Anolis sagrei: one gene and its partners. The protein of the gene in region 2 purifies or fractionates together with the protein of the main gene of each other region. This does not show direct contact. Links are inferred from orthologs where the notes say so. Each region holds a gene or a part of one and is shown on either strand. Other genes may lie near its edges.

Region 1 (7,022 bases), about 18 Mb from region 2:
TGGCAGCTCTCGCTCCATGTATTGCTGGAGTCTTCCTTGCAGGATCTTGAGCATTACTTTACTGGCATGAGAAATAAGGGCCACTGTACGGAAGTTTGAGCACTGTATGGAAGTTTGTACGGAACTTGGCCTAGGCCTACCTTATCATAAGGCATGTCCTTTAGGCCTTTCCTGATCTGGCAGGATATCTTAACAAGGCCCTGAAATGACCATCATTGTGTAAAAGGTTCTTCACAGGTAATGGGTCCTGAATCATTTCTCCCTCTTTTAAGCCAGTTCTTTTCAGCCACAAAGGACAATAGTTTCCACACTTGGCAGAAGTTTCTTTCATTTTTCTCCTTTCTTTCTTCTTATTCCCTTTGTCATCAAGAGGCTTTCCACTGTGAATGAGCAAAAATCAATCAATCTATCTATTAGGTTCTTGTGGGTTTTTCGGGCTATAGGGCCATGTTCTAGAGGCATTTCTCCTGACGTTTCGCCTGCATCTATGGCAAGCATCCTCAGAGGTAGTGAGGTCTGTTGGAATTAGGACAATGGGTTTTTATATCTGTGGAATGGCTGGGGTGGGGCAAAGAGCTCTTCCTTGCTGGAGCTAGGTGTGAATGTTTCAACTGACCACCTTCATTAGCATTTGAAGGCCTGGCTGAGCCTGGGAAAATCCCCTGTTGAACCAAACTGTGAACCTGAGTCCCATCATCGTCGTCAGAAACATCCTCTGATTCCAGCTGTGTAACAACACACATGGACAAAAAAATCTCTCATAAAATGACATTATGTGAGACAATGCAACTAATCACATGATTGTAAATACGTTCTGAATTATGAAGAATAAACTACTTGTTATTTACTGATCCTCTGTGTGACATATTTTCTTTCTCTGGCAAAACAGTGTGTGGACTGATCAAACGTGAACTACAAGGTTTATTTTCCATTATGCCACATTGAGCCCCGGTGGCACAATGGGTTAAATCCTTGTGCTGGCAGGACTGCTGCCCGAAAGGTCGTCAGTTTGGATCTGGGGAGAGCTCCCATCTGTCAGCTCCAGCTTCTCATGTGGGGACATGAGAGAATCCTCTCACAGGATGGTAAAACATCTGGGTGTCCTCTGGGCAAGGCCTTTGCAGACGGTCAATTCTCTCACACCAGAAGCAACTTGCAGTTTCTCAAATCACTCTGAAACCAAAAAATGGCCATGTAGGAATTAACAAGTCCAAGGAAAGCATACAGGTGGGCTCAGGAGCTGGGGAAGAGCCCCCTTTGAATTGTTTTCTATTCATTTTTCAAGGAAAATACTAGGCTGGGGTTTAGGATCTTTGAAGTATTTCCTGTGGAGCCCTTTCCTGAGGCAATTCCCTTTTCCCCCAAAGGAATATGTTAATGTTTCTGGTGTGTGCAGTCAGTCAACCTTCTGTGACAGGGTCAATGAAAATAGGGTAAAGTGCGGAATACTGCCTGCTTGGTATTGCAAAGTTGTAAAAAAATTTTAACAAAAATTCATGTTTAATCATACTGAGGTCGCGTTGGTAGGTCTGATTTCTCGACAACATAGGTAAGGATGAGGGAGCGGTTGAGAGGGTATCTACACCGTGGAATTCGTGCAGTTTGACACCACTTTAAAATGCCATGTGGCTATCGAATCATGTGATTTGTGGTTTCATGAAGCACCACACTTTAACGAAGTCATAAAAACTACAGCTCTCATTATTCCATTACACTGAGCCCTAGCAGTTAAAGTGGTGTCAAACAGCATCAATTCTACAGTGTAGATGTACCAAGGACCTAGAAAATGTCAAGATTGGTTGAATAATGTAATGCAATATAATACTACTTATAATAATAATATATCATAATATATTATTATTATTATTAATATTAATAAACCTTTATTTATACTCCGCTACCATCTCCCGGAGGGCTCGGTGCGGCTTACAAGAGGCCGAGCCCGAATACAAATAAGTAAAAACATCACAGCAAGTAATATTACATGTAATATTACTAATAATTAGTAATATTACATGTAATATTACTAATAATACTACAATATGGTATAGTACAATATAGTAATACTAATATTGTACTATATTAATCTATACAAATAAAAATGCAATGTTCATTTGTGGGATTAACATAACTCAAAAACCACTGGACAAATTTACACCAAATTTGGACACAATACACATATCAGGCTAATGAGTGACCATCACTCATAAAAACAGAAAAGAAGGGACTTTAAAAGCCAAAAAACAAAAAGTACGTTACAACTCATGAGCAAAACCACACACACACACACACACACACATATACACGCAAACACACATATACACAAATATATGCACACATATATATATACACACAAAACACAGACTGGGCCACAACAACGTGTGGCAGGTATTATTGTTATTATTATTATTAACTTTATTTGTACCCCACTAGCATCTCCCGAAGGACTCGATGCGGCTTACAAAGGTCAAGGCCTCAATAAAACAATAACATAACAATACAGCATTATAAAGCAAATCAAAACATTAAGCAATAACAGTAAACAATAGAAACAGTACACCGTGACACAATAAAACTAGGGTCTGGTTGAATAATGGGTACAGATTAAAAGTGCTGAGTATGACAGGTGGAATATAGGATTTTAGGGTAAGTGCAATGTGCAGACAATCTTAATTCTCTGATAAAGTGCTTCTGGGACATATTGTGCTTCTGGGACAGTTTCCTATTCTGGAAAGGCACACCGGAACAGCCAGGTCTTCAAACTGGTAGTTTGTGGGACTAACATAACTCAAAAACCACTGGACAAATTGACACCAAATTTGGACACAATATACATATCAGGCTAACGAGTGACCATCACTCATAAAAACACAGCAGAAAAGACTTAAAATGCCAAAAAAACAAAAAATACATTACAACGCATGGGCAAAAACATAATATATGTTTATATATCTTGTAAGCCGCTCTGAGTCCCCTTTATTTATTTACATTTCGTAAATAAATAAATAAATTTCAGTTTTTTCCTCCATTTCGTGTGAAAGATTCAATACAAGTCTACATTGGGGTCAAGTTTTAATTCTGAAAGCAATGAATGTCCAATACAGCAAGGAGAAAATTCCAATACAGCCAAAAGGCCTCTCTGAGAGCCCTTCCACACTGGCATATAATCCAGGTTATCAAAGCAGATAATCCACATTACCTGCTTTATTTATTATTTTATTTATTTACGGCATTTATATGCCGCCCTTCTCACCCCGAAGGGGACTCAGAGCGGCTTACAATATATATTTTCATACAATATATTATATTATTAGCATAGTACAATATCAGTATATATTACTATATTGCACTATACCATTATATTGTAATATTATATGTAATGTAAATATATAATTATAATATTGAACTATTATTACTAGTATTATATTGTATTACATTATAATATAATATGTATATACAATATACTATATTATATTATTAGTAAAGACAAGGTGGAACTGGATTATATGAGTCTACACTGCCAAATAATCCATTCTAAAGCAGTGTAAAGGGAGCCTAAAAGAAGGAATCAAAGCTGCATTGCCAGCCTTGCGTCCATCATAATTTAAAGCCTGCCCCTTTAAATACCCCACTTCTGGTCCTCGCTTCAAATGGCGGCCTCCTAAACGGCGCCACCAAAAAAATCTGCCCTCACTCAAAATGGCTGCCGCCCTCGACGCCTTCCTTGTTTTCCTCTCTCTTTCTCTCCCTCGCTCCGCTTTTATTTTCCCCCTTCAGTTTTGCCCTGAGCCAAAATGGCAGCTTTCCCAACGTCACCGGCGCCTTCGCCCTTAACAAAGAAGGCGGCCGCAAGACGCGACTCTTTTCCAACGCTACACAAGCCCGCGAGCCGCCTTTGCCCTTCACTGTGATGGCGGCGGTTTGGCCACGCTACCTCGAGGTAAATCCTGCACACTGATTGGCTGGGAGGGAAAACAAGCCGCGCTACCATTGGCTGGTATGGAACACGAAAGGGAAAAGGGTAGCGTCGAGGTGTGAGTAAGAGAAGGGCAAGGAGGGAGGAGGAAGAGGGAGTTAGTTGGTGAGTTGGAGGGAGGGAAGGAAGGAAGGAAGGAAGGAGGAAAGAGGAGGAGGGGGGCTGTTTTTCAAACTGAGTTTAACTGATTCGAGAAAGGAGCCCAAGGAAGTGGGCAAAGAAGGTGAGATTTCATGGAATTGATATGAAATTGGGGTTTTGTTTTGGGGTTTTTTGGGGGGGGGAAGAGATGGAGAAGATGGCAGAGGGAGTCTTGGAAGTGGGACTTGAGGCCACAAATTGGAAGAGAGCATGGAGATCCTGAGGCACCAGAAGTTACTTGAAGGGAAAGTTACTTGGTTTTTAGCTCTTGAACCAGGTTCAGGGCATCCTTATGGGGTTCACTTCCAAAAGGAGTTAACTTTGAAAGTTTTTTTATTGTATTATATTTTTATATTTATTATATATTTTTAATTTTTTATATTTATATTTATTATATATTTTTAATTTTTATATTTATTATATTTATTATATATTTTTAATTTTTATATTTATATTTATTAATATTCATTATATATTTATATTATATATATATATATATATATATATATATATATATATATATATTTAAAGTGGTGGTAGAGGCATGGGCCAACTTGGCCCCCCCCCCAGGTGTTTTGGACTCCCAACTCCCACCAGGGACAGGGCCTTCTCGGTGGTGGCCCCTCGACTCTGGAACTCACTCCCCAAGGACATCAGGCATGCCCCAACGTTGGCAGTCTTTAGAAGGAGCTTGAAAACATGGTTGTTCCAGTGTGCCATCCCAATTATACTTATTAATATTCATTATATATTTATATTTATTATATATATATTTAAAGTGGTGGTAGACGCATGGGCCAACTTGGGCCCCCCAGATGTTTTGGACTCCAACTCCCACCAGGGACAGGGCCTTCTTGGTGGTGGCCCCTCAACTCTGGAACTCACTCCCCAAGGACATCAGGCATGCCCCAACGTTGGCAGTCTTTAGAAGGAGCTTGAAAACGTGGCTGTTCCAGTGTGCCTTTCCAGAATAAGGAAACTCCAAGCAATATGTCCCAAATGAGAGAGGAGATATGATAGCCAGGTATAAATATGTGAGAGGAAGGCACAAGGAGGAGGGAGCAAGCTTGTTTTCTGCTTCCCTGGAGACTAGGACGGCGGAACAATGGCTTCAAACTACAAGAGAGGAGATTCCATCTGAACATGAGGAAGAACTTCCTGACTGTGAGAACCGTTCAGCAGTGGAACTCTCTGCCCCGGAGTGTGGTGGAGGCTTCTTCTTTGGAAGCTTTTAAACAGAGGCTGGATGGCCATCTGTCAGGGGTGATTTGAATGCAACATTCCTGCTTCTTGGCAGGGGGTTGGACTGGATGGCCCATGGGGTCTCTTCCAACTCTTTGATTCTATGATTCTATGAAATGCACTTTACTAGAGATCTAGAATTGCCTGCAAGCCCCACCTATCCCTAAAATATCTATCTTATTTCACCTGATCATGCCCAGCACTTTTAAAGATTTTAAGTATTACATTTGGCCCTGCCACAGGTTATTGTTAATGTTTTTTGCTTTGTTTATGAGTTTTTATTATTATTATTCTATTGTTGTTGTTGTGTTTTACTGTTGTATTTGGGCTCAGCCTCTTGTAAGCCGCACCAAGTCCTTCGGGAGATGATAGCGGGGTATAAATAAAGGTTTATTATTATTATTATTATTATTATTTCCTTTCCCCCCTCATCTTAAGCTCTTCTTACAATGCCTTTAGGTTAGGTATGGGCCAACTTGGGTCCTCCAGGTGTTTTGGACTCCAACTCCCACCATTCCTAACAGCCTCAGGCCCTTTCCTTTCCCCCCTCAGCTGCTTAAGTGGCTGAGGGGGAAAAGGAAGGGGCCTGAGGCTGTTAGGAATGGTGGGAGTTGGAGTCCAAAACACCTGGAGGGCCAAAGTTGGCCCATGCCTGTGGTCGTGTTTAGTTGTGGCTTTTAGGGTTTCTCTCAATAGAATAATTACACTTTGGCACTGCTTTAACTGCCACGGTTCAGTACCATGCAGTTCTGGGATTTGTAGTTCGGCGAGGCCCCAGTGAAGAAGGAGAAAGTCCTTGGAAAATCACAACCATTGACCCTTGCCAAAGTAGGGTCAAACTGTAGTTATTCTACATTGTTAGACTGACCTAGAGAGATGTTTATGTGAGAGATGTTTATGTTATTTATATTAATTGTTTTGTATTGATTTTTTGTTATTGCTTCTGTTTACTGATGTACTGTGGGCTTGGGCACATGTAAGCCGCACAGAGTCCCTTGGGGAGATGGTAGCGGGGTATAAATAAAGTATTATTATTATTATTATTATTATTATTATTATGTTGACAAGCTGGAATGTGTCCAGAAGAAGGCGACTAAAATGATCAAAGGTCTGGAGAACAAGCCCAATGAGGAGCGGCTTAAAGAGCTGGGCATGTTTAGCCTGAAGAAAAGAAAGCTGAGAGGAGACACAATGAGGGCCATGTATAAATATGTGAGGGGAAGTCATAGGGAGGGGGGAAGCAAGCTTGCTTTCTGCTGCCCTGGAGACTAGGATGTGGCACAATGGCTTCAAACTACACGAAAGGAGATTCTCCCTGACCTTTAGGAAAAACTTCATAACTGCAAGAGAGAGCACTGTTCGGCAATAGAACTCTCTGCCCCCAAAGTGTGGTGGAGGCTTCTTCTTTGGAGTATTTTAAACAGAGACTAGATGGCCATCTGTCGGGGGTGCTTTGAATGCGATTTTCCTGCTTCTTGGCAGAATGGGGTTGGACTGCATGGCTCATGAGGTCTCTTCCACCTCATTGATTCTATGATTCTATGTGATTATTAACTTCACTTGTCTACTTTAATTAGAACTAACTGTTGGGATTCTGGCCTCTGTCTAACCCAGGCATGGGCCACATTCCCCGAGGCAGTGTTTCTCAAACTGTGCTCCTCTA
Region 2 (7,076 bases):
CGTCTGTGGAATTCCCTCCCTAAGCACATCAGGATGGCCACCTCCCTCCTGTCCTTTAGAAGACAATTGAAGACTTGGCTTTGGGACCAGGCGTTCGTCCAGTGGATAGCGACAATTGGAAGGAAAGTTAGGACATATGCGACTGGATTTACCCAACTTGGTCTTGGTTTTAACTGGCATCTTAGCTTTTTGTTTAATGAACTTGGTAATGTACCTGTATAACATGTTTTAATGATTTTTTACTGTTTTCATTGTAACCCTTGTTGCTTATATGTTGACAGCATCACACGATGCTTATGTGATGTGGGGGCAGTTTTAAATATATATATATTGATTTTTCCTTTTTGGTACAAAAGTCAACAGAAAAGTATATATTGGGTTGTTGTAGGTATTTTCAGGCTATATGGCCATGTTCTAGAGGCATTCTCTCCTGACGTTTTGCCTGCATCTATGGCAAGCATCCTCAGCGGTAGTGAGGTATATATTGATATATATATTGTATAAAATATATATTGATTTTTCCCTGTTTGAACTGCCTGTATATGTCAGATCTGCTGACCAGCACAAGGTCACAGGAGATATGACCCGAACACGCTGACTTTCCAGATGATTAAGATGTTTTCCTATGCATTAATAATTAATTAATGTCAACAAGTTATATAAGCAATTGTATATAAATATGTGCTCTGTTTAAATCAAGGTGTGTGGAAACCCCTTGTTTCAGCTGCGGGCTGAGGTTTCCCACCCTTTTCCATGGAAAAGTAAAAAGTTTTGAACTTGGAACTCTGCTCTAGCCTGGTGTCATTCTTCCACCCCATTTGCATCCCAACAGACAGGCTGCTGTCTGCTGCAACAATGAGGCTGCCCTGAGTCCCCCTTTGGGAGGAGAAGGGCAGGGTAGAAATGTATGTAATAATAATAATAATTTTTATCAATATTGTTTTTAATTTGTTATTATGGTTTCTCTTGTGATTTGTATTATTGTTGAATGTGCTGTATTGTCTATTAGTTTTTTTAATTTATTGTAGTATTTATTTTTATTTTACTGACATAAAAACACAGTATGTCACAGCAAACGAGATATATATGCTGGATTTCGTATCACAAAATCACAAGTCGAGCACTTCCAAAGCGTCTAGAACTGTGTGGTGTATTTTCGAATGATGCACGCAGATCCAAGTAAGGTGGCATTTTGCAGTTGATAGATCATGATTTTGTCAATGTTTATTGTTTCCAAATGCAGGCTGAGATCTTTTGGCACAGCACCCAGTGTGCCAATTACCACTGGGACCACCTGTACTGGTTTATGCCAGAGCCTTTGCAATTCGATTTTGAGATCCTGATGACAGCTGAGTTTTCTCCTGTTGTTTTTTTGTGAATTCAGGTATCACCTGGAATGGCGACATCAATAAACTTTTTTTTATTTTCCACAATCGTGATGTCTGGTGTATTGTGTTCCAGCACTTTGTCAGTCTGGATTCAAAAGTCCCATAGTATTTTTGCGTGTTCATTTTCCACTACCTTTGCAGGTTTACGATCCACCAATTCAGGCATGTAGCCCCCCCCCCCCCCCCAAATTCTCATGGTGGTTCGCGAAAAGGCCTTACTGGTGCAGTATTTAAACTGTTATGTTTATTAATATCATGATTTGATCACCATTCTCAATATATCCCATATGTATGGGGGTATTGGGGTAATGATACAAAAGGTTTGCTAGGCTAGACCCTCTTTCACTCAGACTCAGTCCCCCCCCCCCCGAAACTCAGCCCCCCCCCCCCGAAACCCCCCTGAAAAATTTTTAGCCCCCCCCCCCCCCCCCCGAAACGAAATCCTGGCTACGGGCCTGCACCAATTATTTACTGCTGGCAAGTGGTACTTGTGGCCTAAGTTCCAATGAATCATTTGGGCCACAGAGTTGTGCCTCTATTTGTAGTCTGTCTGTGCAATTTTCTTGCAGCAGCTCAGGATATGATCAATGGTTTCATCAGCTTCCGTGCACAGTCTGCATGTTGGTACATCAGCTGATTTTTCAATCCTGGTCTTAATTGCATTTGTTCTGATGGCTTGCTCCTGGGCTGCAAGAATCAGGACTTCTGTCTCCTTTTTCAGTGTTCCATTAGTGAGCTATAACCAGGTCTTCCCCGTGTGAATGTTTCCTTCAATTTTGTCAAGGAATTGCCCATGCAATACTTTGTTGTGCCGTCAGCTCTGGTTTAAGGGCAGTTTTCTTGTACTGATTATTTGTCTGCTGTGCTTTGAGAAGTACAAAGCAAGTATTATTATTATTATTATTATTATTATTATTATTTTATGGCAATGAATGTTTGCCTTTTATGCTGTGAGACGCCCTGAGTCCCAAAGGGGAGATAGAGTAGGATAGAATAAATTTTTACCTAGGTGCCTTCCACATATTATCTGCTTTGAACTCGATTATATGACACTGTGGACTCATATAACTGAGGGCTCTTCCACACAGCCATATAAATCACAATATCAAAGCAAAAAATCCCACAATATCTGCTTTGAACTGGGTTATCTGAGTCCACACTCAGATAATGTGGGATTTTCTGCCTTGATATTATGGGATATAGGGCTGCGTGGAAGGGCTCTTAGCGTACCATGGAAATTTAGCATAAATTTGACTCTCCTTAGTTCAATCAATCTCATAAATTTTTATTTGAGGGCCCTACCACACAGCTGAATAAAATCCCACATTATCTGCTTTGAAGTGGAATATATGGCAGCATGAATTCAGGGCCCTTCCACACAGCCCTATATCTCAGAATATTAAGACAGAAAATCCCACAATATCTGCTTTGAACTGGGTTCAGATAATGTGGGATTTTCTGCTTTGATATTCTGGGATATAGGGCTGTGTGGAAGGGCCCAAAGAAAATACATCTATATAAATAAAAATGTAATGTTTGTTTGTGGGATTAACAGAACTCAAAAACCACTGGGCAAATTGACACCAAATTTGGACACAAGACACCTCCCAGGCCAATGAGTGACCATCACTCATAAAAATTCTGGAAAACACAGCAGAAGGGACGTAAAAAGACAAAAAAATACATTAATAATAATAATAATAATTAGAAATCCAGCACTGAAAAGCTAGGCTACTGTTCCTGAGCTTGCGCAGAGGGTCATAGAAATATCATAATAATAACATAGAATAATATAATAATAAATATATAATATAAGTAATACAATAATAAAATAATAATAATAGAATAATAGAATCTAGAGGTCACGAAGAGTCGGAGACGACTGAACGAATGAACAACAGCAACAAATATAAATAAAGGAGCCCCTGGTGGCGCAGTGGGTTAAAGCACTGAGCTGCTGAGCTTGTTGACCGAAAGGTTGCAGGTTCGATTCCGCGGAGCGGTGTGAGCTTCCGCTGTCAGCCCTAGCTTGTGCCAACCTAGCTGTTCGAAAACATGCAAATGTGAGTAGATCAATAGGTACCGCTCCAGCGGGAAGGTAACGGCGCTCCATGCAGTCATGCCGGCCACATGACCTTGGAGGTGTCTACGGACAACGCTGGCTCTTCGGCTTAGAAATGGAGATGAGCACCACACCCCAGAGTCAGACATGACTGGACTTAATGTCAGGGGACTACCTTTACCTTTACCTATATAAATAAAAGTGTAATGTTAGTTTGTGGGATGAACACAACTCAAAAACCACTGGACGAATTGAGACCAAATTTGGACACAAAACACCTCTCAGGTTTCACCCATAAAAACACTGGAAAACACAGCAGATGAGACTTTAAAAACACACATATATACACATGTACAGAAATATACACACACCACACATATACACAGACTGGGCCACAGTAACGCCACAGCAACGCGTGGCAGGAGATGGCTAGTTTTTAATAATTGAGAAAAGGACCCAAAGAAACCCGGAAACAGACGCTCTAACTGTGGGTGGATTGTCTTTCATTAAAAATCTATGGGGCGAAGGAAAAGGGGTGGGCGATCACATCCGGTCCCAGAATGCCGCGGGCGAGTGGCGAGTGTCAGGGCGGGAGGGAGAAGAGGGAGGGGGGTGTCGGAAGTTGGCTAGCGCATGCGCCGTGCGCCTCGGCGGGTAGAGGGGTTGCAAGGACTCTTTTGTTTGGCGGAGGCGGATCGAGCGCGAACCGCCGCTCGCTCTCTTGGCCTCTCTCTTTTGCCGTCCGTTCCTGAAGTCCGAGGGGTTTCCGCTCCGCGCGCGCTCTCGGCTCGGCCTGCAGCCGCTTCGTGGTGGTGGCGGCGCCGACTGGGGTGGTCGTTTGGAAGCCGCTCGCCGCGCGCTTCCTTGGTGGGGCTTCCTCAGGTAAAGAGGCCGAGTGAGGAGAGATGGGGAGGGGGCGTCTGAGGCACCTCAGGCCTGGGCGGCCATATTGGGGGTGGGCCCAAGGGGGGAGGAAGGGGCGCGAAAACGCGGGAAGGAGAAACACTCGAGCCCCCTGCGTGGGTTCCTGAGGCAGCTTTTCTGGGGCGGGGAAAGGAGCCATATAGCGACCCTTTTCTCAGAGAGGAGACAGTAAAGAGTGGTGGGAAATATGTTCACGAAACGGATGAGAAGTATGCTGGGTTTCCAGCCCTGTGTGAACTGTTTTTGTTTGTGCTTCTTTGTATTGTGTTTGAGTGAATGTGTGATGGTGGGGAGCTCAACAATAGAAGCTGCACGGGAAAGACATCTGAGGGGAAGAAATATGCTTGCAAGTGATGCCCGTGTGAAGAGAAAGTGGCGTGTGTGTGGTTTTGTGTAGGAAAAGGCGTTTTTATCAGGCTGAATATTCCTTGCCTGAAGTGTTTGGCGTTTTGGAGTACTTGCCAAAGTCCCAAAGGAGTTTCGGTGTGTCATAACTTCTTTAACTTTTGTTGTTTTTCATTTACAATACAGTAGCATCATATATAGTAGAGCAGGCATGGGCAAACTTCGGCCCTCTTTGCCCGTGGCGAGAAAAAGCAGGTAGAAATAAACAGCAATAATAATAATAAATGCAGGCCACCCCCAAGTTACAAACAAGATATGTTCTATAAGTTTATTCTCAAGTTGAATTGTGGCAGCCATTAGGAGAAAATATAATTATAATTATAAAAATGCATTTAAGATGAACAGAAAAAAGCCTTACCTTAAATGCTGACGAGAGATTTCTACAGCAAGGGAAATTCAATAGAACAATAAAAGATCGGAGTGGCTTGTTCCATAAATAATTGGAAAAGTAAATGTTGACTTTAGATTAAACATAGCAGGCTAGAGGCCTCGTGAGTTAGGATAAATATATAAATCATTAAGAGATCAAAGAAGTTAAGTACCAATGGAACATGTCATCTGGAAATAATAAGTAGAAGTTAACAATTATATGAAGTGAGCGAATGTTTGTCATCTTGACCTTGCCAAGGGAATGACCAGGGTGGGACAAATAATTCTTGTCTGCTGGAGCTAGGTGTGAATGTTTCAACTGACCACCTTGATTAGCATTTGATGGCCTGGCAATGCCTGGGGCAATCTTTTGTTGAGAGGTAATTAGATGTCCTTGTTTGTTTCCTCTCTGTTGTGCTGTTGTAATTTTAGAGTTTTTTAATACTGGTAGCCATATTTTGTTTATTTTCATGGTTTCCTCCTTTCTGTTGAAATTATCCACATGCTTGTGGATTTCAATGGCTTCTCTGTGTAGTCTGACATGGTAGTTGTTACCCTAGCAATTCCACAGATATATCAACTCTTTTTCCTAGTTCCAACAGACCTTACTACCTCTGAGGATGCTTGCCATAGATGCAGGCAAAACGTCAGGAGAGAATGCCTCTAGAACATGGCCATATAGCCTGAAAAATCCTACAACAACCCTGTGTGGTGTTTTGCTTTCTGTGCCCTTGTTCGCCTCACTTCCTGTCTCTGGTCATTGGGTTTTGAAAAATTTGGCTTGTTGTGGATAAAAGGATTGGTGAGAAAGGTTCAGGGAAGACACCTTTCCACCATAACTCTTCCAGGAATGAATTTCCCATCATAGAGATAGATTTCTCTCACTTCCTCGTTCTTAACTAGGAGTCGTTTGTAAGTTGGATGTTTGTAATTCATGGTCTGCCTGTATAGAGGACATTACATTACACATAAAGTCTTCTCAAAAAGTTACTAAAACATCAAACACCTTTGTGATTTTTGGCCCACCTTTTACATTGAGTTGTATCTTGAAGATGGGGCCCAAATGTGCTCAGAGGCTGAAGATGATTTTATATTATTTTAAAACAAAACAAAGTTTTATTGTATTGAATCACCAGAAAGCAAAGATTTCACTATCTCAGCTAGCCATGTGGACAACTTTAGATTCTAGTGTACAGTATTTTAGAATTCCAGATAAGGGATGAACTACGTTGATATTGTTACAAGGGGGTGGATGCACATGTGTTTATGTATAGTATGTGGGCAGTTTTTAAATTTTAATGTATTCTGGAATTTAGGGGTGCTCATTAAATATAGTGGAGAATTGTTACCAGGAGGCAGGTTTACATGTAAGTCAATCTGAATAAGATTTATAGAAATTGAAGGAAAAAAGCAGAGGATATGCATTCTTTTGATGTTAAATGCAATTTTCCAAGCCCAGAGCCCAAGTGATTTACTAACATTTTGATAGTTTTGATCTTTACTCATATACAGCAATGTGCTGACACTTAAAATTCATTTTAAAATGGATTTGGTACCTTTTGGAAACAAACTCCACATATATAAAATGTAGCAAGTTTTCTTTTTCTAAATTGTATAAAATACAAAGATTATGGATTGTGTCCCCTAATACATATTTGGAGAGGGATGTTGGCAGAGTATTGCACCTAATATTTGATAGAGGACATTGTTTCGAAGTTAAGGAATGGGATGATGAACGTGCTGTAATGTTTTTAAGAGTGAGGCTACGATTATGTTTTAAAGTGTGCAATAGAGTCCCTGTGTACAATGTTTTTCTTAAGGTAGAATGAAATAAGAGCATTAGGAGAGATGAGCTTGTTGTATGGATGTTGCTCCAGTACAGAGCTAATAAAAGTGAAGTGCCATGATAGTGTGAGGTGGTTCTCCCA
Region 3 (6,860 bases), on a different chromosome or scaffold from region 2:
GAGTACCGAGGTCTGTATAAGATGTTAGTTCTGACCTTTAAAATTCTTTACGGCCAGGGTCCATCGTACCTTAGGGACCGCCTCTCCTTCTCCCATCATCGGAGGTCGCAACAACCAGCCCAACGCGACTTACTCTATATACCGGGTCCTAGAGAAGTGCACTTGGAAAGGATCAGATGCAGGGCTTTTTCTATTTCTGCCCCTGCCTTATGGAATTCCTTGCCACCCCACATGAGAGCCATGCGTGACTTAGGGCCTTTTACTCATGCACTTAAGACCTGGCTTTTTACTAGAGCATTTGATCCCTTTTAATTTTTGTATGTATGTATTTTATCTTTTACAATTTAGCTGTAAATCTTCTAGAGCATTCTCGGATGGAGGGCAATTAATAAGTAATTGGATGATGATGATGATGATGATGTGGTTCTGGAGAAGGATTCTGCAGATACTGTGGACAATAAAAAAGAGAAATGAATGGATCCTTGAGCAAATGAGGTTGGGACTTTCCCTAGATGAAACGATGAATAAACTAAGGCTGTCATACTTTAGACATGCTAAGAGAAGACATGACTTATGCGATAAGACAATGATGCTTGGTAAGATAGAAGGCAATAGGAAAAGAGAAAGCCTGCATTCCAAATAAATTGATTCAATCAAGGAAGTCACGGCTCTGAGTCTGCAAGACCTGAGCAGGGCTGTTGGAAGGTAGAGTGACTTTGGTCCTCTCTGCCCAGCTGCATAAAATCCAGATTATCTGCTTTGAATTGGATCGTATGGCAGTATAGACTCAGATAATTCAGTTCAAAGCAGAAAGATTACATCATTTGATACTCTGGATTACATGTCAGTGTAGAAAGGCCCTCAGACTTCTCTCATTCATAAGGTCCCTAGAGGTTGAAGTTGACTTGACAGCAGTTAATAAAAACGTAACTTGTTGCTTTTCCGTTGCTTAAAACATATTAATCATAGGATTGAAAAGAAAATGGCATCAGACCTGAGAAATTAAACTACAATGATTCTAACATTCCATTTAAATATAATTGGAAAATGTTACACATCACACCCTCTAGCTAAAAAACAATTACCATAATTTGTTATGTTGATCTGAAATGTGAGTTCATTATACCCTTGGTATATTTGTGAAGTAATTTATTTATATAGGTGACAATTATGCTTTTAACCTCTTCATTTCCAGCTTTTAATCACTGGCAATGAATGCTAGAAGTGCAGGAGAATCCATAGGCTCTCTATAAGGAAAGATGGTTAACAAAGAATAGTCTTGATTTGAACCTTTTGTAATGCTCTTGATGCTTGTTCCTTTCATCAAGGCTCTCAGAATCAACCCCAGATGTTTGTTCCTTATTAAAGCTGCCCTCTTCTCAATGGCAGCAACAATCAGACATAATGTTACTCAGCTTTCCATATCCATGGGTTTGGCATCTATGGACTCAACCAAACACAACTCAAGACATGTAGAAGAACATGCCAAAAACCTTGAAGACTACAGTGATATGTAGGCATTCCATGCTGTAGCGTCTTGACATTTCACAGATCCTCAGCCTCTCTTCAGCACTCATTAGAATTGTTCTCCATTTGATATGAAGGGGAAATTACTTACTTTGCCATTGTATGTTATGGCCATTTTATGGACTTTTGGTATCCAGGGAGGGTCTTGGAACTAACCTGCTAGTGAATACCAAGTGCTCACGGTACCTTGTATCATGGTCAGATCTTGCATTTCCTCAATAACAAGTGCATGAACGATACTAATGGAAAACAACATGAGAAAGGACACGTGTACTGCTCTAACTCAGGCATGGGCAAACTTCAGCCCTACAGGTGTTTTGGACTTCAACTTCCACAATTCCTAACAGCTTACCAGTTGTTAGGAATTGCGGGAGTTGAAGTCCAAAACACTTGGAGGGCCGAAGTATTCCCATGCCCTACTCTAACTAAACAGTCCATGTCTCCATGTTCCAAACTGCACACAGCATCTATTAACACATCTACTAATCATGATGTCACTTGATGGTTTATTTCTTGCTATTGTGACAATTGTTCTCAACCTGTGGGCCCCAGGTGCTTTGGCCTACAACTCCCAGAACTCCCAGTCAGTTTACTAGCTGTTAGGATTTCTGGGAGTTGAAGGCCAAAACATCTGGGGACCCACAGGTTGAGAACCACTGTGCTAGTACATCATGAGACACTGGGAAGACAAGAATTTTGAAAGCTAATACGATACAGTAATTTGAAAGTTGGAGTAGTACCCACAGAAGCATAGAGTTGGAAGAAAGTACAAGGGCTATCCAGTTCAAGCCTGTGCCATGCAGGAACAGGCCATCAAAGCACTCAAGGCAAATGACCATCCAGCTTCTGTTTAAACATCTTCAGAGAAGGGGACTCCATTAAAATCTTCCATTGCCAAGCAAACTCCCAAGAAACTAGGGTTCAGGAATGGACAACTAGGTGACCTTGAGGGATTCGTATTCTCTCAGAAATTTAATAGCAAATCTCCCTTGAATTAGTCTTGCCAAGAAACTCTTCAAAGAGCGCCACAATTAAGTCAAAGTCAACTTGAAGGAACATCACAATGGCCTCTCCATTTTGATATTTGCTTTGGGACCAGAAACGACACTGGCGGTTATATCCAAATTGAGTTGATATATATTTTAAAGAAAACATTTAGATTTTGGATTGTTCTTTAGGAACATCAGTTTCCTACTTAGGTCCTGCTTTCCTCTAGCTCAGTGGTTCTCAACCTGGGGTCCCCAGATATTTTTGGCCTACAACTCCCAGAAATCCCAGCCAGTTTGCCAGCTGTTAGGATTTCTGGGAGTTGAAGGCCAAAAACATCTGGGGACCCACAGGTTGAGAACCGCTGCCTGGCTAGATGTATAAGTTTGGTTCCGTGTCACACCACTGTGGGACAAATGGAGTAGGAACCCACACGAGCCCCTGCTCCCCCCTGGAGGAACCCAATTTGAAAGCGCTTCCGAATGATTTGAAGACCTCAAATGATAGGAACCAACCATTTCACTTTCTTTTTTTACTCTTTGAAGACAAACTTGACCTTCTAGAGATGGAAAGAATGGTTGACCCAAAGAAGAGCCTTCCAGGTTTGATGCCAACTTTGCAACAGCCTTTCTTAGATGACTTGAGGGCTCCTTCTTCCAATGGCAGACTCCATTTGGATGGGTCCCATTGGTTGTTGGAGGTAAAGGGGGGTTTCAAGAAGCCTGCTGATGATGCAAACAAGGCACCCTCAACCTTATATGCAAACCAGCCAGAGAGATGCATGGCCACATGACTGCATCACATGGGATGATGCAAGCAAGGCCCCACCCCTCTGCAGTGACGTCACAACCCAAAATCACGTGGAAGTTGCCACTTTGGCTTGGTGGGAGAGGTGCCCATGCCCCAGGGGAGGACAGGTGAGTGGCCCAGGTGAGGGTGAGTGGAGGGGAGGCCCCCCAGGCTCAGCTAGAGCGCTCCCCAGCGGCTGCATTGGGAACCTCAGCCACCCTGAAGAGTTAGTGCTGATGGAGGGAACCAATGGGAGCCCTGGACCGAGCCTCTCCTCATTGGTGGACTGGCTGAGATGCAAATGAGGCGGGACGTCACTTCCTGGGACAAATCGAGCGCCATTTTCTCTTTCTCACTGGAAGGAAGGAAGGAGGGAGGAGCAGGGAGCAGGGCTTGTGCGGTCGGCTTTCGCGGGGCGAGAGCAAGGGCCAGCGCTGCAGGGACGGGCAGGGATGCTCGGGGCTTTGAGGCCTGAGCGCCGGGCCTGCAGGGTGCAGAGGTGGAGTCGGGCCGGCCTCTGAGCGAGGAGGAGGAAGACAGGAGGAGGAAGAGGAGGAGGAGGAGGAGGAAGAAGACAAGGCGGCAGCTGCAGCAGCAGCAACCAGGCGCGCGCGTCCCTGAGGGCGGCGCCAGAGAAGAGCGCGGGAGAGTGCGCGCGCCCCCTGCGGCCGGGGCAGGTAAGTGCAAGTCCCCAATCTGAAGCCACCAGGCGCTACAGCCGAGCCAGGGAAGGAGGGCAGGAGGGAAGGTGAGAGCGCGCGCCCCTCGCCCTTTCTCCCCGCGCGCTGCTTCTGGGCGGAGTCCAGCCTCGCGGGCGCCTCCTCCCATCTTTTTTCCCTTTGCTTTCTCTTTGGAGAGCGCGCCAAGCGCGGGAAGGCAGCTAGCTGGGTCCAAGCCAGGCATGGACTAACTTCAGCCCCTCCTCTCTCCAGGTGTTTTGGACTACAACTCCCACAATTCCTAACCCCCCTTAGGCGTGAGGCTGTTAGGAATTGTGGGGGTAGAAGTCCAGAGTGGGCTGAAGTTTGCCCAGGTCTGGTCTAAGCCCTAATTTTCCTCACTCATTTCAGAATTTCTCCAAAGCCTCCGACACTAGGGCGGGAGAAGCCGCACAATGGGGCGGGGAAAAAATGGAATGCTAAAATTGGGACTTTTGGAACAGGTTCAGGTTGGAAAATGGTTGTGGATACTCCTCCCATGGAAACTTTTAAACACAAACTGGATGGCCATCTGTCAGGGATACTTTGATTGTGCTTTTCCTGCATGGCAGAATGAGGTTGGACTAGATGGCCCATGTGGTCACTTCCAACACTTATTCTATGGTTGAGTTACTCAAAGCTCAAGGTGCTGAGGGGGAAAAGTAAAGGGGCCAATTCTGTTAGGAATAGTGGGAGTTGAAGTCCCAAACACCCCAAGGGCCGAAGTTTGCCCATTCCTGGGCTAACGTCATAAAAGGCAAGTATTCAAAGCCAACAAATAAATACATGCATACTTAATAAAATATGTAAAAGGCACCACAGCAATTCAATTGTTTAAAAATCATTAATGCAACAATTAATGATATCTATATAAATAAAAATGTAATGCTAGGTTCTTGTGGGTTTTTTCGGGCTATAGGGCCATGTTCTAGAGGCATTTCTCCTGACGTTTCGCCTGCAACTATGGCAAGCATCCTCAGAGGTAGTGAGGTAGTGCCATAGTTGCAGGCGAAACGTCAGGAGAAATGCCTCTAGAACATGGCCCTATAGCCCGAAAAAACCCACAAGAACCTAGTGATTCCAGCCATGAAAGCCTTCGACAATACAATGTAATGCTAGTTTGTAGGATTAACATAACTCAAAAACCACTGGACGAATTGACACCAAATTTGGACACAATACACCTATCAGGCCAATGAGTGACCATCGCTCATAAAAACACTGAAAAACACAACAGAAGGGACTTAAAAAGCCAAAAAAAAAATACATTACAACTCATGTGCAAAACCACATATATATACGCAAAGACACATATACACAAATATATGCACACATATATACACACACAAAACACATATATACAGACTGGACCACAACAACGTGTGGCAGGGGATGGCAAGTTAATAATAATAAAAACATGAGAGGAGCCTCCCACAAGGATGGTAAAACATCAAACATCCAGGGCAACGTCCTTGCAGATGGCTAATTCTCTCACACCAGAAGTGACTTGCAGTTTCTCAACATGAAAAATATGCAACAATGAAACTACAAAGAGTTTGCTTTGGCAAGACATCTTGCAGCGCATTTTGCGATGGTTTTTCAATGACTATCACATCAAGCCTCAACCAATTCAACATGTTTTGTGGCAGCCACAAACACCAGGTTTCTGGAGCGTAACAACAACTTTCAAAGTGAGTACCACACAATCAAATAGGATGTAACACTTTCAAAACAGGAACAGAATTATTTTTCAAATTTTGTTACATAGTGTTAGAATTCAGTATTATAAAAACAGCTTAGGACACTCGGACACTTTAAATGCTGGCATGTATTTTATGGCAGTTATGACATTTTTAATGTAATGTCTCTTAACTTGCTTTTAGGGTGTACTCAATGTTTGCTTAAGTTTTAGTTTTTGTATTTTAATGGATTGTCCCTTTTTTATTATATTTTGATCCTTTTTTATTTTATTTTGATGCTTAAGTCTTTCGTTGTAAGTTTACTATACATTATCCTGTGTTATTTTGATGTGTTTGTATCCATTTTGAAGCATTGAATGTTTGTCTTTTTATAGGTAAACCGCCCTGAGTCCCTCAGGGGAGAGAGGGCGGTCTAGAAATTAAGTTTATTATTATTTGTATATTTCGTTCAACTGCGAATCTATCATAATGGGACTGTTAAACCTGTGTTCACATGTGGCAGGTTTTCTCTGCGTTTCCATGGCATCATCTACAAATGGGAAAACTCCGCAGGAATTGATGCCCTTAATCGTTGAATTTAATCTATATAAATAAAAATGTAATGTTCGTTTGTGGGATTAACATAACTCAAAAACCACTGGACGAATTGACACAAAATTTGGACACAATACACCTATTAGGCCAACAAGTGACCATCACTCATAAAAACACTGAAAAACGCAACAGAATGGACTTAAAAATCCAAAAAGGCAAAAAGACACTATAACGCACAAACAAAACACACAAGAGCATATCCACACACTCTTTCAGATTACAACTCCCAGCATCCCCTAGACCAGGCCCTTTAGGAGAGGAGGGTGATCCAAATGCACTGCTTCCAAGATGCAAGCTTTCTCCTCCTTGGATTTCTCTGGACTGCATCCCAATCCCTACATATTTCCAATTTCCTATTCCTGGACTGCATTTCCCAGCAATCCTCCAGATAAGATAGATAGATTAGATAGAGATAAATAGGTAGGTAGGTAGATTGATCAGGAGGACTGTTGGGAATTGCAGTCTAAGAATAGGTAGAAAAGGAAGAAAGGGGAGAAAAAGGAAGGGAAAGACAAGGGGAGGAAGGAAAGGAAGAGGAAGAGAAGGAAGGAAGGAAAGGGGAAGG
Region 4 (7,949 bases), on a different chromosome or scaffold from region 2:
TACTGGCTGGCTTTCTGGTTCTGGCCAATCAGGAGAATGGGAGGAAATTTAGAACAGTAGCAATGTTAATGCATGGAAACTCTTATGTATAAAGATGCCTGCTTTTTCCTTGTGCTTTACGCATGTACCCTTTGAACACCCGCTGTTGTACAAGTATCCCTTCTGCAGATTGAATAAAACTTCACTCTGGTGACATCCTGATTTCTGTCATGGAATATTAACAGTTAGAGGTGCTCAGTATCCATAGGTTCTTGGAAAACCTCAAGCTTTCAGCATCAGTGTCAAACTGCATTGTAGATACATCCATAGATGACAAGTCACCAGTAAAAACATTTAATGCAGAGGCTGTTCTGTGTTAAAAATATATTCTAGCAATCAGATTTAGCCCGGAAAAAGAGAAAAATGCAAGCTGATATGAAAGCAATTTACAAATATTTGAGGGACTGTGACATGTTTGAATGTGAAGGAATTATCCTTTGTACAGTATTGTGCTGCTCCTGAGATGAGGAGCCAAACCACTGGTTTCAAATTATAGGTAAGGAGATTCCAGATAAGAAGTTTGTAATAATACAGCTGTGAGACATTGGGCTCCCTTGGAAAGTGGTAAATTCTCCTTCGTTGAAAGTCTTTAAACAAGAGCCCGGTGGTTGCATGTCAATGTGATGCTTTCACTGTAGATTCCAGTGCTAGCAAGGCGATGGAGACAACTCTTGCGGCAACTTACTGTTGCAATCCAGAGCAGGGAACGAGGCCCTAAGATATCCACCACACTTGGCTGTGAAAAACAATCCTTTTTTATTGAAGAAAAATGGTTACAAAATAAAGGAAAAATGCAAGTCAAAAGCCACAGTAAAATCAGCAAACATGAATTTAAATGGACAAAGCAAAACCAAAAGCCTCACTGGGAAAATACTGGAATCTGTTAGCAATCCACTAACCGTACTTGATATCCTAGAAATCTTCCCAAACTATGACCAGGGAACCGGGAGAACTGCCAAGGTCTTCATCAATTCTGAAACGATGCCTGAACTGAGGCAATTAGCCTGGCGTATGGCAATTAAAACTCAAGAATTGGTTCCGTGAACCGCCCTTCTGTTTTGAAGCCAATGTTTTTAATTCTTGAATTCGGGAGGATCGACGCAAACTGAGTGTTTTACTTCTGTCTCCCCAAATTTGGCCCCTTCTGTTGTCATTACAGTTAACAGGTGCAGAAGGGAGGGAAAGTTCAAGGTCTCCCTCTGAAACATTCTCAGGAACACTGGTACTTTCATTTTCCAAACCTACAGCAGTTTCTTCCTCACTAATTTCAGGAGCATTGGCATCAAAAGGTACATTTCCACTAGCATCAGTAAATATACTTTCATTAGCATCAGGAGGAACAAACAGAGAATTAGGTTCAAGTTCAAACTCAGGCTGAACCCCAACACTTACAACTTTCATATTCTATATTTTTGTGTGAAGCTAATCTGGGAGAAGTCAGTAAATTTCAAAATTGTCTAACGAGATAATGGGGAAGTTGAACGGTATTGCTTCATAAGCCGTTGTGGTTGCAATTTTGTGTGTTCTCACTGAATTTAGACTTCTGAAAAAACAGCCATAGCATTTGGATGTAGATCATTAAGTAATTCTGGTGGCATAGTTCTGAGTCTTGGAGCCTTGTTTGTCTGCAAGAGCCTCCCTTGCTAGTGGTTGCTGAAAGAACATGTTTGGTTTACATAAATTATTCCTTACACAACACAGCATTCTCAGGCACTTCCTTCTTCTACTACTTTTTGGTTGAATGTAATAAATCAGTTAAGAACCTAGTCCCTGAGCTACAAAGAACCTAGCCCCTGAGGTAGGCGAATATGTTATTTTCAAAGGACTTCAACAATAATCCTGGCCAGTTCGAGGGCTTAAACTATTGCTGACCGATCAGACAAATATTCGTCATTTTAATCCTATAATTTTTTCTCTCCATTCATTGTTTCCCGCTTGACCCGCCTCCTCTCTTCCCATTGGCTGAGAGGCCAGAGCGACGCTGGCTCTCTGATTGGGCAAGGCGCAGCTGAGCTGGCCATGCCTCCCAGCCAGCGGAGGACTCCAACCAATCAGCGAAAAGCCAGCTAGGGGAGCGGGAGCAAGAACTTTGAACTTGACAGCTCTGTATTTCCTATAAAAACTGTGTTATTTTGCCTTGTGGCTCATGTCAGCTTCTGAGCAAAAGATTGCGGTTTGATATCTGTTCCAGCTGGAATGAAATAAACATCTCAGTGGCTTCTTCTTCAACTTAGTGAGATTTGGAAAAATAGGGAAAAATTTCTTTTGGGTGCTCTTGTCTCGCCAGGTGTCCAGATCCTCTTTGGTGGGTCTGGCTGGTCCTTGCCTCAGCAGGACCCCTTAAATTCAGGTTCGACATCACATGGAGGCACTCTGCCCAGGAGTTGTAAGGCAGCGGGGCCGAAGAGGTGTTGCTATGGCCCCACGCAGGTGTTACTATGGCCAGCAGTGGGCAGAATCCAAGAAGAGCATGGATGAGCTCTCTCTGTCAGCTCCAGCTCCCCATGCGGAGACATGAGAGAAGCCTCCCACAAGGATGGTAAAACATCAAAACATCTGGCCGTCCTCTGGGCAACGTCTCTGCTGACAGCCAATTCTTTCACATCAGAAGAGACTTGCAGTTTCTCAAGTCGCTTCTGACACTAAATAACAAGTGGATTACTTCAGGATGACTTTCTGAGCTGAAACTCGCTGCACTGAATGTCTTTGCTGAGGCACAGAATAAAGGTAAAGGTTTTCCCCTGACATTAAGTCCAGTCGAGTCCAACTCTGGGGGTTGGTGCTCATCTCCATTTCTAAGCCGAAGAGCCGGCGCTGTCCGTAGACACCTCCAAGATCATGTGGTCGGCATGACTACATGGAGCGCCATTACCTTTCTGCTGGAGCGGTACCTATTGATCTACTCGCATTTGCATGTTTTCGAACTGCTAGGTTGGCAGAAGCTGGGTCTGACAGCGGAAGCTCACACCGCTCCCCGAATTCGAACCTGCGACCTTTCGGTCAACAAGATCAGCAGCTCAGTGCTTTAACTCACTGCACCATCGGGGGGGGGGGTTCCTATATATATATATATATATATATAAATGGAGCCACATGACCTTGGATGTGTCTATATATATATGGAGCCCCTGGTGGCGCAGTGGATTAAAGCACTGAGCTGCTGAGCTTGTTGACCGAAAGGTCACAGGAACAACTGCTGTCAGACCCAACTTCTGCCAACTTAGCAATTCAAAAACATGGAAATGCGAGTAGATCAATAGGTACTGCTCCAGCAGAAAGGTAACAGCGCTCCAGGCAGTCATGCTGGCCACATGACCTTGGAGTTGTCTATGGACAACGCTGGCTCTTTGGCTTAGAAATTGAGATGAGCACCACATCCCAGAGTCAGACATGACTGGACTTCATATCAAGGGACAACCTTTACCATATATATATATATATATATATATATATATATATATATATATCTGAAAAACCACTGGATGAATTGACACCAAACTTGGACACAATGAAAAACACAGCAGAAGGGACTTTAAAAGCCAAACAAAAAACAAAACAAAAAACCAAAACGCAATATCACACATATATACACAAATATATATAGACACAAAATACATCTACACAGACCAAGCCACAGCAACGCGTGGCAGGGGACAGCTAGTGTGTGTGTGTGTGTGTGTGTGTGTGTATATATATATATATATATATATATGCACTGTCCTGGAGCGCCTGTTCCAGTGGCTCCAATTTTGTGTTTTGCACTGAGTTCATAGTCCTAAGTTGCAGGGACTTTGTATATAGGTGGCTTCCTTTGGCTGCATTCATAGGGCAAGCCACCTGTCAATTATAGTTAGGATCCCTGGTCCCGCCCCTCTCTGGGTTTTTTGGAGGGAAGGGGCCATCTTTCAGTTAGTCTCAGCAAAGGAAGTCAATGCAGAGGATGTATACAGACGTCCTCCTGTGCAAAGGCTTAGTCTGGGGGAGAACAGTCTTGAGAGCCTCTAAAGATTCCCAAAGGTTCCGGGGAAACAGCCTTACAGCCCTGAGGAATTCCGGAGGGAATTACAGCTCTAACCATCAAAGCAGCTAAGTCAGTGGTTCTCAACCTGTGGGTCCCCAGGTGTTTTGGCCTACAACTCCCAGGAATCCCAGCCAGTTTACCAGCTGTTAGGATTTCTGGGAGTTGAAGTCCAAAACATCTGGGGACCCCAGGTTGAGAACCACTGAGCTAAGTGATTACAGGCCTGTTGGTACGTCTACTTGGTTCTGAGACGCAGTTCAGCCGGTAGTGGATTCAAATCAGTTAGGTTTAGGTTCACAGCAGCCTGGGAGGAGCTAGAAAGGGGAATTTTCCTTTGAACAAGGTTTTTGAAGATAGTGCCTGTTCCCTGTGAACAAGATTGCAAGAGCTAAGAGACTGTTTAGAAAACTTTACAATTCTTGTTTGTTCATCAATAAAAGACTGTTATATTTAAGCTCAAGCCTCATAAAGACTGTTTAATAAGGGAAATTTCTCTAAAGGCTTCTTTTCGGGGGCCCTGGCTTCCCACTGGATCCAAGCCATACATCCTCTCTTAAAGGCACTTCATTTCAGGTCCAGTTGCGACAGAACACACACACACACTCACACATACATACACACCAACACTTTATATATTAAATGTTTGCGCGTGTAAAAACTGAAAAGAAAAAGAGCTCTCAGGGACTCCCAATTCCCCTTCACGCCCAGTGGCAGGAAGGTGCTGCCCAGCAATATAAATCTAGTTAGGGACGAGAAGGACGAGAAACGCTCCTTGACTTCCTATTGGGCGGGCGGCGGGGCTGAGGCTGAAGGGCAGCCAATCAGACAGCGCCACTGCTCCCGCCTCCCTCTCTGGCCCCGCCCCCAACTCGCCTCTCTTCCTCCAGTGGGATGAAAAGTTTCTGGCGGCCTCAGTGACTGGAAGGGGAGGGGGGAAAAAAAGAGGCGCAAGATGGCGGAAAATTTAAAAGGTGAGTGGAAACCGCCGCCGCCGCGCGCGCGCGCCGGGCCGGGCTAGCTTTGCGCGAGACCCCTCGTTTGGGAACCTGGGGTTCGGCGGGTGGAAGCCGAGAGCCAATGAGCGCTGCGGTCTGAGAGCGGCGCGAGGCGGAGGTTCGGCGGCGACCGTTACGGGGCGGGGAGCGCGCGAGGGAGGGAGTGAGGCGGCGCAGGACGTGGCAGAGAGCGGGAAAAAGGAAAGGCGGAAAGCGGATAGGGATAGGGAACCCTGAGGAGAGGGCAAGGGGAACGGGCAACCTTTGAGCGGGGCCACCTTGGCTGCGTTTCCCGCTCAGAGGATCCAATGTTGTTCCAAGTTCCTCACAGAGGCAGTTCATGTGCCTCCCTGTTCGACTCTATGCCTCTCCTCAGCAGACACGACGCTCCTGGAGACCCTTTTTGTGCCCTCTTCACATTTCCGCCCTCCTCATCTTTCCCCCTCTGGCGTGCTTTCCACCATGTGCGTCTATCCCTTAGGGTACTTCCACACAGCCCTATACTCCAGAATATCCAGGCAGAAAATCCCACAATATCTGCATTGAACTGGGTTATCTGAGTCCACACTGCCATATATTCCAGTTCAACGCAGATAATGTGGGATTTTCTGCCATGGATATAGGGCTGTGTGGAAGGGCCCTTACTCTGTATTGTCGAAGGCTTTCGTGGCTGGAATTACTGGGTTGTTGTAGGTCTTTCGGGCTATATGACCATGTTCTAGAAGCATTCTCTCCTGACGTTTCGCCTGAATCTATGGCAAGCATCCTCAGAGGTTTTGAGGATTCTTGCCATAGATGCAAGAGAAATGTCAGGAGAGAATGCTTCTAGAACATGGTTATATAGCCCGAAAAACCTACAACAACCCCTTACTATCCTCAGAGAGTAGGAGAACTCGTGGAACTCTTCAGGACAACCTTCTGACGTGAAACTCGCCTCACAATGATTTTGCTGAGGTACATAATAATAATAACAACAACTTTATTTATACCCCGCCACCATCTCCCCGAAGGGACTCGGCGTGGCTTACATGAGGCCAAGCCTGTCAAATACAAATACAACAATACATCGACAAACAAGCAAGCAAATAAAACAATATAAATAATACAGTTGAACATATAAGCAAAGCAATAACATGCAAAAGATTTAATGGCAGGGCCAGATGTAGATTAAAAGTTTAAAACCATGGGCGTGTACAGAGTAGGGTATGTCTAGGCATGGGGTTTTTAAAGTGTGATATGGGGGGATCAATCCAATGGATAAAGTGCTTCAGGGGACATATAGAAGGAAATTGGTCAGATAGGGCATTATTTCCTTTAATCAGGGAAGCCATGTTTTCAAGCTCCTCCTAAAGATAGCCAAAGTGGGGGCTTGCCTGATATCTTTAGGTAGAGAGTTCCAGAGTCGGGGCGGGGGGGGGGGGGGGGACACAAAATTTTGTTTGACCCACTCTTCTACGTCCAAGGGCCCTTCTACATATCTGTATAAAATCCCACATCTGTTTGGACTGGGTTATATGTCTGTTTGGACTCAGGGCCCTTCCACACAGCCATATAACCCAGAATATCAAGGCTGAAAATCTGCTTTGAACTGGATTATCTGAGCCCACACTGCCATATATTCCAGTTCAAAGCAGATAATGTGAAATTTTATTCAGCTGTGTGGAAGGGGCACAAGTCTGCAACAATAATAGCATATAAAACTTTGAAGGAGGGAAGATTGCTCCTGTTTCCAGGTTTGCAATCTAAAAACATTTTTAGCATTATAATTATTTCCCGGGATTCAGCAACAGGAGTGGAATAGAACTACTACATCACACTAGAGAATGAATCCACTTTGAATCTGTTTTCTGCCTCCAGCAGAATTCTGGGGTTTGTAGTTTAGGGAGGAAACTTTAACAGCCTCACTAAACTACAAACCCAAGAATTCTGCAGGAGGCAGAAACTGGATTTAAAGTGGATTCATTCACTAGTGTGATGAGGCCCCTAGTAGACATTGCCATTGACCAGTTCTTTGTTTGAGCCAATTGACCATGGTGGATCTTCCATCATTTATTAATGCTGACCATAGACAACCACACTGGTGGATCTTGAAGAACCACCAGAAATCTTGATTCCTCTTTCAAAGAGTAAAGAAGGGAATTGGCATCACCGGCAGTCCCCAATTTACAAACCACTCATAGTTAAGAATGGGGCTGAGACAACATGAAGTGACAGAAATCAACCCCCAAGGCCCTTCCACACAGGCATATAACTCAAAATATCAAGGCAGAAAATCCCACAATATCTGCTTTGACCTGTATTATCTGAGTCCACACTGCCATATATTCCAGTTCAAAGCAGATAATGTAGGATTTTATTCAGCTGTGTGGAAGGGGCCTCAGAAGGGAAACTGCATCCCGAAAGAGTTATCATGAGGACAAAGGTGTCTCAACTGAAGCTTCCTCACCAATCCTTGTAACCACAACAAGACACATTCTTCAAAAATTAATTACTTGCATATAATATTTTAAAGTCACCATGATCACAAATATCTGGAGTGGATAATGTTGTGGTGATGCCAAATCACAATGATACCTAACCTTTCACCCAGATCGTATTTAGTGCTGATCTTCAGCCGAGTGTTTTCAACTTTATTGGCTTGAAAAGAATGAAGATTTTGCAGGTGAAAGGCAAACTGTTTGAAACAAATTTCCTAAAGGCTTTGCTAGGTTTTCCAGCTGTGGTACACATAATTTCATTATATATATATTTTATTTTTGTGTCAGGAGTGACTTGAGAAACTGCAAGTCACTTCTTGTGTGAGATAATTGGCCATCCTTAAGGATGTTGCCCAGGGGACGCCGGGATGTTTGATGTTTTACCATCCTTGTGAGAGGCTTCTCCCATGTCCCCGC

What was found.
Region 1: the proteins of CBX1 (region 2) and PRR14 purify together in Homo sapiens (affinity purification with mass spectrometry; 3 studies listed by BioGRID and IntAct, counting the BioPlex papers as one, with this or other methods). This does not show direct contact. The link is inferred for Anolis sagrei from reciprocal best matches to the Homo sapiens genes CBX1 and PRR14.
Region 3: the proteins of CBX1 (region 2) and ADNP2 purify together in Homo sapiens (affinity purification with mass spectrometry; 5 studies listed by BioGRID and IntAct, with this or other methods). This does not show direct contact. The link is inferred for Anolis sagrei from reciprocal best matches to the Homo sapiens genes CBX1 and ADNP2.
Region 4: the proteins of CBX1 (region 2) and SUV39H1 purify together in Homo sapiens (affinity purification with mass spectrometry; 3 studies listed by BioGRID and IntAct, with this or other methods). This does not show direct contact. The link is inferred for Anolis sagrei from reciprocal best matches to the Homo sapiens genes CBX1 and SUV39H1.

The regions. Positions count from the first base shown.
Region 1 is NC_090026.1:16,092,813-16,099,834, reverse strand, and holds the start of PRR14 (proline-rich protein 14), read left to right. Parts: upstream 1-4,004; 5' UTR 4,005-4,199; intron 4,200-7,022. UniProt on the Homo sapiens protein: Functions in tethering peripheral heterochromatin to the nuclear lamina during interphase, possibly through the interaction with heterochromatin protein CBX5/HP1 alpha. Might play a role in reattaching heterochromatin to the nuclear lamina at mitotic exit.
Region 2 is NC_090026.1:33,852,208-33,859,283, forward strand, and holds the start of CBX1 (chromobox protein homolog 1), read left to right. Parts: upstream 1-4,064; 5' UTR 4,065-4,332; intron 4,333-7,076. UniProt on the Homo sapiens protein: Component of heterochromatin. Recognizes and binds histone H3 tails methylated at 'Lys-9', leading to epigenetic repression. Interaction with lamin B receptor (LBR) can contribute to the association of the heterochromatin with the inner nuclear membrane.
Region 3 is NC_090024.1:76,607,743-76,614,602, forward strand, and holds the start of ADNP2 (activity-dependent neuroprotector homeobox protein 2), read left to right. Parts: upstream 1-3,851; 5' UTR 3,852-3,980; intron 3,981-6,860. UniProt on the Homo sapiens protein: May be involved in transcriptional regulation. May play a role in neuronal function; perhaps involved in protection of brain tissues from oxidative stress. May be involved in erythroid differentiation.
Region 4 is NC_090022.1:194,074,793-194,082,741, forward strand, and holds the start of SUV39H1 (histone-lysine N-methyltransferase SUV39H1), read left to right. Parts: upstream 1-4,925; 5' UTR 4,926-5,012; coding exon 5,013-5,031; intron 5,032-7,949. UniProt on the Homo sapiens protein: Histone methyltransferase that specifically trimethylates 'Lys-9' of histone H3 using monomethylated H3 'Lys-9' as substrate. Also weakly methylates histone H1 (in vitro).